Linked DNA regions of Arabidopsis thaliana. The gene in region 1 interacts genetically with each later gene. Each region holds a gene or a part of one and is shown in the gene's direction. Other genes may lie near its edges.

Evidence for each region. A genetic interaction does not mean that the proteins touch.
Region 2: of SUVR2 (region 1) and NRPD1A, changing one enhances a phenotype caused by changing the other (phenotypic enhancement), as found in Arabidopsis thaliana (one study listed by BioGRID).

The regions. Positions count from the first base shown.
Region 1 is NC_003076.8:17,695,890-17,702,577, forward strand, and holds SUVR2 (SET-domain containing protein lysine methyltransferase family protein), read left to right. Parts: upstream 1-1,952; 5' UTR 1,953-2,205; intron 2,206-2,554; 5' UTR 2,555-2,564; coding exon 2,565-2,816; intron 2,817-2,926; coding exon 2,927-2,983; exon of another isoform or gene 2,984-3,038; coding exon of another isoform or gene 3,039-3,071; coding exon 3,072-3,110; intron 3,111-3,194; coding exon 3,195-3,456; intron 3,457-3,568; coding exon 3,569-4,686; intron 4,687-4,864; coding exon 4,865-5,115; intron 5,116-5,251; coding exon 5,252-5,318; intron 5,319-5,421; coding exon 5,422-5,472; intron 5,473-5,596; coding exon 5,597-5,693; intron 5,694-5,815; coding exon 5,816-5,844; 3' UTR 5,845-6,147; downstream 6,148-6,688. Other genes in the region: PDLP1 (plasmodesmata-located protein 1), read right to left, coding at 1-569; AT5G44000 (Glutathione S-transferase family protein), read right to left, coding at 6,342-6,527, 6,619-6,688. UniProt on the Arabidopsis thaliana protein: Probable inactive histone-lysine methyltransferase that acts as regulator of transctiptional gene silencing independently of histone H3K9 methylation.
Region 2 is NC_003070.9:23,359,451-23,364,330, reverse strand, and holds the start of NRPD1A (nuclear RNA polymerase D1A), read left to right. Parts: upstream 1-1,843; 5' UTR 1,844-1,894; exon of another isoform or gene 1,895-2,027; intron 2,028-2,138; 5' UTR 2,139-2,183; intron 2,184-3,191; 5' UTR 3,192-3,204; coding exon 3,205-3,288; intron 3,289-3,371; coding exon 3,372-3,492; intron 3,493-3,589; coding exon 3,590-3,711; intron 3,712-3,791; coding exon 3,792-3,830; intron 3,831-3,917; coding exon 3,918-4,136; intron 4,137-4,212; coding exon 4,213-4,365; intron 4,366-4,453; coding exon 4,454-4,549; intron 4,550-4,599; exon of another isoform or gene 4,600-4,629; coding exon 4,630-4,880. UniProt on the Arabidopsis thaliana protein: DNA-dependent RNA polymerase catalyzes the transcription of DNA into RNA using the four ribonucleoside triphosphates as substrates. Largest and catalytic component of RNA polymerase IV which mediates 24-nt short-interfering RNAs (siRNA) accumulation.

The DNA.
Region 1 (6,688 bases):
GCGTAAAAACCTCCTCCGCCACCACCACCACCGGATGATCCAGTTTTCACGCCGTTCTCCGCCATACCAAACGCCGTCTCCCTTTTCCCGACAAACCCAGGATCGTTAGAATCTTTTTTCCCACAGACACGGAACAACATCTCCGTACCGGAAGTTTGCCGGAATCCTGAACTCTCATACCGGATATAACATCCAGCGAGGTGAACACGAGCCGCCACCACATTACCGTCATCTCTGCCGCCACCGCAGAGTTTAGAAACGAGTTTAGGGATTTTGGAGACGCAATCGTAACACTGAGCGTTTTGGAGATCGCCACGGCACTGAAAAACACCGATCACGGCGGTGGTGTTATCAGTTCCGGAGGTTACGGAAGCGAAAGAGCTTTGTGATGATTGAGAAACTAAAGAAGTGAATAAGTTTTTGAGATTCTGAGAGAAAACACCAGTTGGGTCTGGAGATTTCTGATTTGCACAACCTTTAAAGATCAGATTTTTATAATCATCATCACCGGAGATTGCAAAGAATGGTAAAAAGAACCAGAAGATGAAGAATTGATAGGTGAGTTTCATAATTGAGAAAGACAGAGAGAGATTTTTGTTTCTTGATGTTCAAAATCTTTTTACTAGTTTGTTTCTGTCTAATAAAGTTTGTGTTGTTTTTATGTGTCCGGAAAAAAGAAAGTTTTCCGTTTTTTTTTTGTCTTTTGTTTTGAGGTTTAAAGACAAAAAAATGTAAATAAGAGCAGGTTTTGTAGTATGAAACCATGAAAAATAAAGGAGTATACTTTTCTTTGGATCTTGCTTCAAGGGTAAGATAAAAAAGAAAGAAACTTTGAGACGACAAGTGTTTATTATATAGATTTGGTTTAGGAGATTATGTAATACAGTATCAAAAAAAAATGATTACTGTTTCTTCTTTTTTGTTGTTGAATTTAGTGAATAACCTTTAATGCCATTAAATCTGACTTTATTGTCTGAATTTGGATTTTGTTTTAGGACATTGATGGAAAAACACCTTTTGTGTATATGTATTTTTTGTTTAAGGCACTAAGATATATTTTGATGAGTTTGATTTAAATTGTAGGCTGATACGAGAAGGAAAATAAAATCTTAGACCTTGTTGTAAATGTGAATGATTGATTCGATTTTATTTTGTGTCCAAAACAAAACAAAACATGATCGTTTTGAGTTTACATAATTTCAGAACATAATTGCGTAGTAACTGGAGTAAATAATAATAAACCTGTGTGTTTTTGTAAACTACAAAAGATATTATCACTATGATTATTTTGAGTTAATGATAAGCATGATTGTTTTTGCAGGATTTTGGATTTCACATTCTATATGATATATTTTGAGTTGGTGAGTGTGGAAGATTTGTCAACAACCCTTGATCTCACAAGAACCAAATTGCCTTTGTGTGTTTGGATTATAGCTCTCTTGGAACCTTTGTTGATGTATTTTACCTATGCTTTTGCTTACCTTTTATGGTATTGGGGAATGCCTATCTTTGTTGTATGTTAAAACTTTGTGATCTTAGAATCCTTCTACCTTTGTACTTGTTTTCTCTTGTAGATGAATGAAAACAAGCATTTGCCCAAAAAAAAAAAAAAAAGATTGCTCGGAGAAGTAGAGGTGTTCCCCAATGTTTCAAAATCATTAAGAGTTAAAGACTACAAAAGGAAAGAACTAATACTGTATACTGTAAAAGATATGTGAAACTCTTAATTAAGTATAGATTCCCTATACAATATTAGTGAATAATTTTTATAAAATAAGGTTACCAGAACTGCCTGCATTGGATTTAAATACCGGAGAATTTGAGACATACATAGTTACATACACATGATAGTAGTAAGATCAAAAACAAATCTTAAGAGGTCAATAAGATTCGCTTATTTATTGAGTTTGACCCGACCCAATTAAGCCCGGCCCATTAAGCAGAGAAGAAGAAGAAAGAGAGAGGGTCAACAAAAAGTCACAGTCGAACAAGATACTGAGAAAGAAACGAAATTTCACCTGGCACTGTCCTCGCGTGTACTCTCACGCGCCGACGTAATACTCTGCCGTCGTCACCGACATTGTCTCTACGCCGTTGTCATTTGCTTATTACGGCCAAGATTCTTCACTAAGTAAGTCAAAATCGTGGAATCCTTTCTCTGTACCGAGCTCGCTTTAAACCCTAACCCTCTCGTCTCTGTACTTAGTAAGTTCTTCTAATTTCCGACGAAAGTCTTCTCCTTTTTGAGTCTCATCGTCATCTGAAAACGCTATTAGCTCTCTGGAAGAGAAAAAACAACGTTTTGTTAGAGTTTCTTTGTGCGATTGTGTTTTCTTAAGAGGAAAGGTTTCAACTTTCTTAGGATATTCAATTTCTGAGTCTTTTCTGCTACTTGTGGTTAGTCTTTGCTGCTAGGTAGATGTCTGTAGTCTTGGTTTGTTGTTGATTTGCTTTAGGTCTGTCTTTGCTTATTGTTGTAATGTTTTGAGTTCTGGCCACATTTATTTCCTTACTGAACGGCTCTTCACATCTTGTTTCTTCCGCATTTTGATAGGACGAGGCAAATGAGAAGTTACAACTTGTTTCACGAAAGCAATCCCACAATCAGTTTTAGTTTTGTTGGTGCAGAAACGATGGCACCTAATCTGCATATCAAGAAAGCATTTATGGCTATGAGGGCTATGGGAATAGAGGATGCGCGAGTGAAGCCGGTCTTGAAAAACCTTCTCGCCCTTTACGAGAAAAACTGGGAGTTAATTGCTGAAGACAATTACAGGGTTCTTGCTGATGCTATCTTCGATAGCCATGAAGATCAGGTATCTTTCTTTGTTCTCTCTTTGATCTACTGTTTTTTTTTTTGTAAATCTGTTGTAATCATTGTCTTTGTTATTACCTTGACATTCCATATTGATTTACTTATATAAAGGCTATTCAAGAAAGCGAAGAAAAGAAGGCAGACGAAGTTAAAGAGGATGAAGGCTGTGTATGTTTTTTCCAAACAATCTTCCATTTATTAGTTCAATGTTGCTTTATTATCCATGCTTCACTTTGTTGTTGATCCAATCTTTCAGGCCGCAGAAGTTGACAGAGGAAAGAAAAAGCTCCATGAAGTATGGCAAACTGAATATCTTTGCTGTGTTAGAGTAATGTGTCTTCATGTTCTTGTTTATTCAGTTTCTGTTGTGTAATATCAGTCTATCGAGGATGACGAAGATGTTATGGCTGAGTCTGATCGCCCTTTAAAGAGGCTGCGACGCAGAGGTGAAGGAGGCTCTGCTTTGGCAAGCCCTAGCTTGGGCAGTCCGACTTTAGAGGGACCTTCAATTAATGACGAAGAAAATGCTCCGATCCTATTGCCATATCATCCTGTACCAATTGAAAATGACCATGATGCTGGTGAGCTCATTCTTACAAAAGTCGAGCCCATTACAAATATGCCTCTCAGTTCTATTCCTGGTACTTTTTTGTAAATAGGAGTAACTAAATCTTATTTGCATTGCTCATTTTGTTGTTATGATTGTTGAAGCTACTTTCTCCAAAACTAATGTGTCTTGTACGTTTTCTGTAGATTCAGTAGATAGAGGGGACTCTTCCATGCTTGAGATAGACAAATCAAATGGACATGTGGAAGAGAAGGCTGGTGAAACAGTAAGTACTGCTGATGGTACTACCAATGACATTTCTCCTACAACTGTTGCGAGATTTAGTGATCACAAGCTAGCTGCAACCATAGAAGAACCTCCAGCACTTGAATTAGCTTCTTCTGCTTCAGGCGAGGTGAAGATTAATCTTAGTTTTGCTCCTGCAACTGGAGGATCAAATCCCCATTTACCTTCTATGGAGGAACTACGAAGAGCAATGGAGGAGAAGTGTCTCCGATCATACAAAATACTGGACCCCAACTTTTCTGTGCTTGGTTTTATGAACGACATCTGTAGCTGCTACCTGGACCTGGCAACAAACGGGAGAGATTCAGCTAACCAATTGCCAAAAAACTTGCCGTTTGTCACAACGAACATTGATGCATTGAAGAAATCTGCAGCAAGGATGGCTTATACTTCTCAGGCCAGTAATGATGTTGTTGAAATCTGCAGCAACGAACATATGCGTGATGCTGAAAACGGTGCAGTTGGTGATTCCATGGCTTTGGTAGTTGTTCCTGAATGCCAACTTTCTGCAGATGAGTGGAGATTGATAAGCAGCGTCGGGGACATCAGTCTAGGGAAAGAAACTGTTGAGATTCCCTGGGTGAATGAGGTCAACGACAAAGTTCCTCCAGTTTTCCATTACATAGCCCAAAGTCTTGTGTATCAAGATGCTGCAGTGAAGTTTTCGCTTGGGAATATCAGGGATGACCAATGCTGCTCCTCTTGCTGTGGAGATTGCTTGGCTCCGTCAATGGCATGCAGATGTGCAACTGCTTTTAATGGCTTTGCATACACAGTAGATGGCCTCCTACAGGAAGATTTTCTGGAACAGTGTATCTCTGAGGCCCGTGATCCGCGGAAACAAATGTTACTGTATTGCAAAGAATGTCCTTTAGAGAAAGCCAAAAAAGAAGTAATCCTGGAACCGTGCAAAGGGCATCTAAAGAGAAAGGCCATTAAAGAATGTTGGAGCAAGTGTGGCTGCATGAAGAATTGTGGCAACCGAGTTGTCCAACAGGGCATTCACAACAAGCTGCAGGTACATTCAACTTACCAACCTTTTTAGCCAAGTAGTCCAGGATTTGATAATCTAAACCCATCTCAGTTCTGATAGAATTGAAACTGATTATGATCATTTTAACTTGGACTTAACCAGTGGAGAGATTCTGATGCCTGAATTTTGTTTATGTTCCTTTTTTTTTTTTTTTTTGAATCAGGTGTTTTTCACGCCCAATGGGAGAGGCTGGGGACTCAGAACTCTAGAAAAACTGCCTAAAGGAGCATTTGTCTGTGAGCTTGCTGGAGAGATATTGACCATTCCAGAGTTGTTCCAACGCATCTCTGACAGGCCTACTTCTCCAGTAATATTGGATGCGTACTGGGGTTCTGAAGACATTTCAGGGGATGACAAAGCACTTTCTCTTGAAGGAACGCACTATGGAAATATTTCCAGGTTCATCAATCACAGGTAAAGGGACACTGAAAATGAGTTTGTTATAAAGTTTCATATGACTAGCCTAGATTTAGAACTCATTTGGGAAACTTATATAGTTGGTTTCACTCTCAATTCATTACTTCTAACTGTACTATGTCTATATGTGCAGATGCTTAGATGCAAATTTGATTGAGATCCCAGTTCATGCGGAGACTACTGATTCACACTACTATCATGTATGACACAGTTCCTTGTTTCATTTCTAATCATTTGCTTATAGAAGACTCATCTGTTATGTGGAAACAATAGACCGATTAGCTAATCTGTATTTTTTTCCAGCTTGCATTCTTCACAACAAGAGAGATCGATGCTATGGAGGAACTTACCTGGGTGTGTTAGAAGTTTCTCCACCCACTCTTAACAGATTTGTTTCTTTTAGAAATTTTCACTAGTTCGGGTTCAAGTCCTGTTTTCTTTGTGGTTCTGTTTGAGAAGTTTTGGACTTGACCTGCAGGATTATGGTGTCCCATTCAACCAAGATGTGTTTCCCACGAGTCCGTTCCATTGTCAATGTGGTAGCGACTTCTGCCGAGTCAGGAAGCAGATTAGCAGTGAGTAATCATCACACGATTTCTATTTGATAATCCTTTTCCTATATTTGACTGTTATCTCGGTTTTGAAACATGAGCCCTTCACTATTTTGCAACTAACACGCAATTTGTTGATGCTGCAGAAGGCAAGAATGTGAAGAAGCGAGCATGAGAGAGAGCTTTACATTGGTAGGTTTTGAAGATATGTGGTGGGCGCAAACTCCTTTTTGTTGTGAATGAATTGGCAAAAAAATTCCAATCGAAAAACGCTTTTTGTAAAAAATTCCGACAATGCATATAAGCAAAGTCGCGGTCCATAAAATAGGTAGGTAGCTATCAGGATGAAACTATAATCCTTAGAAACTGATTCACTTTTGTGATATCAAAAACTCGTGTGAATATCTTAATTTTGGTTCTAACGGCTATGGCTTTTGGTTATGACTTATATTGAAAGATCTCTCTATTTATATAAATCGTAGTATCGAAGTGAAGTCTTGAAAGTGATTTCACCTTAAGAAGAACTCCCATGAGAATCACTTGTGGAAGGCTTCTCTCTCTCTATATATATGAGGAATGATAATAGTACAAGATCAAAGCTTATTACATTGTATGATACTTTTGAGTGCTGTTGGATAATCCTATCATTGAGTTATGTACAGTTTTCTACGCTTAAACCGAAAGCTGTGCTTCAATGGCTTTACCTACCAAGTCTCGGTTATGAGGTCTCCAGAGAGAATCTTGATCGCCAGATGAAGAAATGGCCGGTTGAATTCCACTAGCGTTTAGCGGAAACAGCGTCTTGTAGTAGCCATCCATTATAGCCGAAATATCACAAGTAGCCGCAACACCAGGAATCTGTTTCAACAACAACAACAAACACATAATTTGAAACACACTCCCAGATGCAGAATTTATGTCTCAGAGAGAAGCCAGTAAGAAGAGGAACCTGGTAAATCTCGCGCAAATAGCCATAGAGATTTGGGTATTCAACAAGCTTCTTCTTGGTGCATTTGAAT
Region 2 (4,880 bases), on another chromosome or scaffold:
GACGAAATTTTTATTCTAAACATGCTTGGATTTGAAAAGCAACTGTTAATTTTTGTTCAATCATAGGTGAAGAAAATTTATTATATCCTTATTTTTAGTAGTCTAGTGTCTAGTCAGGTGATGTGAGCCTACATAATGGGTCATCAAGTTGTCAAACTCAATAATAGTTTTTCTCACAATTTTATTTATTTATTTCTGGCATTATAAATAGTTTTATTAACTAGACTACCCCAAATGTTTACAGTTTATAAGGTTAATAAGAAAATTTACTGGGACATTTTTAAGTCTAGTTTATTCTACTACATGTTTTTCAAAACAAATACTCATTTTGTTTTAATTTAATTATCATTTTAGCACTTAAATTTAATCTCACAATAATTATCGTTTTTAGTTTTTTAATGCAAATGTTTAATAAAAATGTGAGTATTAATGTCTTGACCAATAATTTTTTTAGAAACTATATTGAACAAGGGTAAAGTAGAAAATTTAATTGTTTTTTTTTATTTTCACTGCAAAAAATCTTAAACGACAAATAATTTTAAACAAAACTATTTTAATAACTAACCACTAAACTAACTATATAACTGTTTTACAAACGAAAGCGTGAACTTCACGTAAACAAAAATTCAATTTCACGCCGCCGACAAAAAACCTTAAACGACAACTAATTTTAAATAGAAGGAGTATATTTTAGTAATAATTATATGTTAAACTGTTTTAATAAATAACCACTAAACTAACTATGTAACTGTTTTACAAACGAAAGCGTGAACTTCACGTAAACAAGAATCTAATTTCACGTCGCCGACAAGAAAAACTGATTTCACTTATATATCTTGATTTATTAATGGACATTCACATACTCTCAAATAAGATTCTAGATCTTATAAATTTTAATCTATTTTTGTCTCAATTAATTTAGTTATTTATCACATTTCGCCTCTTATAAAATTATATGATAATTGTCTAAGCAGCTAACTAATTGTAATTGTTTTTCAAACAAAAAATATATTTTAATTACACATAATTTTTTTATCGAACAAAAATATATTTTAACGAAATATAAATGTTTCGAATCAAAGATAACAAATTTATAGCCTCAACTATACGTAAAACAAAATTTTATTTTACATATCATACTTTGATTGATACTAACACAAACTTCACAAATAAATTCGTATAATTATGTAATTTTAGATTATTTAGAGATTATAACTAGTATTTAGAAAAATCGCAAAATCATATAAGAAAAGAAATGGAATTTGTTTTTGGTTCAAATTATATTTTTTTTTCCCGCTATTCATATTATAGTTATGAACCAAAAATCAAGCTAGAAATAAAAACCACTAGGATTTTTTTTTTTTGCTAAGATGAAAATTTAGTTATACACTTATTTTTATTTATTTAAATATTACATTAAACTAATAAAAAGTATTAATTATTCTAATAACTTTTTGTCAGTTTTAAAATTAGGCCAAAAGTAAAAAACTAATACAGCTAATATAATATACTTAAGGAAGGATATTTCAACTTTTTCTTTTCTTCCCAGTTTCAGAGTTTATACAAATAAGGTAAAATTCGCAGAAACAGAAAATCATAAAGTAATTAAAATAATACAACCGAGGAAGTAAAAAGATTTCCAAAAGGTAAAAGGTGTACTCGTAAAGTAGGTAAATAGAGGTACAGGTCAAGGGGTAGTTTCGGTATTTACACTCTTTCTTCTTCTTTTTTTTTTTTTTTTGGTGTCTCACATTCCAAAGTCCCCATTGGACTTAGAGAAGAGTTTTTTTTTCGTTTTCTCTGCTTTCTCACTTTTTCCCGTTTCCTTTGGGAATACAAACGGCGGCTTCTCAAAAGCCTCCGATTTCGATTTTTTTTTCCTCTCTTTTTTTTTGTTCTTTCTTTAGAGTCTCTTCTTCAACTTCTTCTCCGGCATCTTCCGTCGGAGCTAAGGATCAGAAGTTTTTGTCTGTGCACTGTTTCAATTGGATCATTACATAGTGAGGATTCTCTGTTCGACGAAACGAGTAAGTAACTACATTGTTGTTCTTCCTCAATTCTCTTCTGGTTTTTCTTTCGTTTTTTTTTTTAAAACCTTTTTCGGTAATTTTCTTTTTATCTCTTTGAAACAATTTGAGTTCTTTTTTTTTTTGATTGATCACTGTGTCTGATTCCTTATCACGGTTCTTTTGTTTAAATTTGATCGATCGTTGTCTTTGAACTCCGATTTTGTTTCTATGAACTTTGTTTACTTTGGATGATTGTGAAAAGTTAAGTACTTTGGTTTATGCATGTTCTTATGAGAAATCGATTTCTTTCGTTTAGAGATCATCTTAAGGCGGCGAATGTTTTTGCACTAAGGGTTTGTGTGAGTCCTTTAGAAGAACATTTGGAAAATTTGTCCTTTTTTTTTTTTGGTCAGTGAATTTTTTTTTTTTTAATCCATGAATAGTGTATGTTCAAAGATTGAACCTTTTTGTGTGTATGTTCTGCAGTTTTTTTTCTTTCTTCTTTTTCTGAACATGTATTCTCTTATTTTTTTGGGTTCATGCTAGATTCTATTAGTAAATTCAATTTCGAATCTATAACTTGTTTTTGATAGGCCAGTCACAGAGGAAGATTGTGGTAACACTTTTGTCCCTTAACAAAAGTGTCTGTTTCTCTTTGGTCAATTTTTTGATCAGAGAGAGTTTGCTTTGGTTTTTGTGTTCTGGTCAATGAAATGCTAAAGATTGGTTTTTGTTTCATATTCTGCTGCACATTAGATTTGATGATAGAGGGTACAGATAGAAACTGATCTTTTCGACGATTTATCCGTGAGTTTTAGCTCTGTTTTATGTTACAGAAGTAAGTGTTAATTTTCAATAATGTGTGTTCAAAGTTTGAACTATTTTGTGTGTTCGTCAAATATTTTTGAGCTAGAATCTTCTTCCCTGAACATGTTCTCTCTTTTCTTTGGATATATGCTAGATTCTAAGTGGCCACTCACAGAGATAGTTTGTGAAGTTGTCTGTTTCTCAGTGGTTAGTATTGGTCAGAGCGAGTTTTTTGGTTTTGTCTGTCTAAATGCTAAATATTGGTTTTGTTTCATATTCTGCACATTGGAATTGGTCACTAAAACTTGCTTATAAAAACTGATGTTTTTACTTACGTATCTAAATTTTCCTTACTGATGGTTTTTTTTCTTGTAGGAAACTCTTCAACATGGAAGACGATTGTGAGGAGCTTCAGGTTCCCGTGGGAACTCTAACCTCGATAGGTTTTAGCATTTCAAACAACAATGATCGAGTAAGTGTTGTCCTTATTTATTCTTCTTGATTTGTTTATGAGTAGATGGAGCAAATATTTAATGTAATGGTACTTTATTATAGGATAAAATGTCTGTGCTAGAGGTTGAAGCACCGAATCAGGTGACTGATTCTCGGCTAGGATTACCGAATCCGGATTCTGTCTGCAGAACCTGTGGCAGCAAAGATCGAAAAGTTTGCGAAGGTATCATAAAGAATCTGGTTTTGGCAAATATTGTTCCAATCTTTTAGCTCATTTTATGATTAGTTCCCTGAGTTTGCTACTTTTCTCTCTGTTTTAGGGCATTTCGGGGTTATAAACTTCGCGTACTCGATAATAAACCCGTATTTCCTCAAGGAGGTAGCTGCGTTGTTAAACAAAATCTGTCCGGGGTGTAAATACATTCGAAAAAAGCAGTTTCAGGTTCACTAGTCTTTCCAAATCCTTTGTTGGTTTGTGTGTTTTGGAACTACATATACTAATGTCATTTTTGCTTGATATAGATTACCGAAGACCAGCCTGAGAGATGTAGATACTGCACTGTAAGAATATATGATTGCAACTAATTTTCTCAGTTTAAAACTTTGTTCCAACACTAATTTTCGGTTTTTGTTGTTGTTATATATCAGTTGAATACCGGTTATCCTCTAATGAAGTTTAGGGTAACTACTAAAGAAGTCTTCAGGCGATCCGGAATCGTTGTTGAAGTAAACGAAGAGAGTCTGATGAAACTCAAGAAACGGGGAGTGTTAACATTGCCTCCTGACTATTGGAGTTTTTTGCCGCAAGACTCTAATATCGACGAGAGCTGTTTGAAACCAACAAGGCGAATAATAACGCATGCACAGGTATAGAAGAGTGAAATGTACCATCTCCATGACTTCTTACTATATATAGTTTTCTGAAAATTTCACCTTTTTGCAGGTTTATGCTCTGTTATTAGGGATTGATCAGAGGCTCATCAAGAAGGATATCCCTATGTTCAACTCTCTTGGTCTGACATCTTTTCCTGTTACACCAAATGGTTACCGTGTAACCGAAATAGTTCATCAGTTCAACGGAGCTCGGCTAATATTTGTAAGCTAAAAACGCTTGTTTATATAATTTGTTATCATATACTATGGTATTTCTCTTATCTTTTCGAGTTTCTGTCACATTTTTGAAGGATGAACGGACTCGGATCTACAAGAAACTAGTCGGCTTTGAGGGAAACACACTTGAATTGAGTTCTCGTGTGATGGAATGCATGCAATATTCCAGAGTAAGTTAGTGGTTCCTGATAGATTTAAACTCTTCTTTCTGTTCTGTGAAGGTTAGTAGTATTTCTTGTTTTTTGCACAGCTCTTTTCGGAAACTGTGTCTTCGAGTAAAGATTCCGCAAATCCGTACCAGAAGAAGTCTGATACACCAAAACTTTGCGGTCTAAGGTTCATGAAAGACGTGCTGCTCGGTAAAAGAAGTGATCATACATTCCGGACAGTAGTTGTTGGTGATCCGTCCTTGAAGCTCAACGAGATTGGCATACCCGAGAGTATCGCAAAAAGGCTTCAAGTATCAGAGCATCTCAACCAGTGCAATAAAGAAAGGCTTGT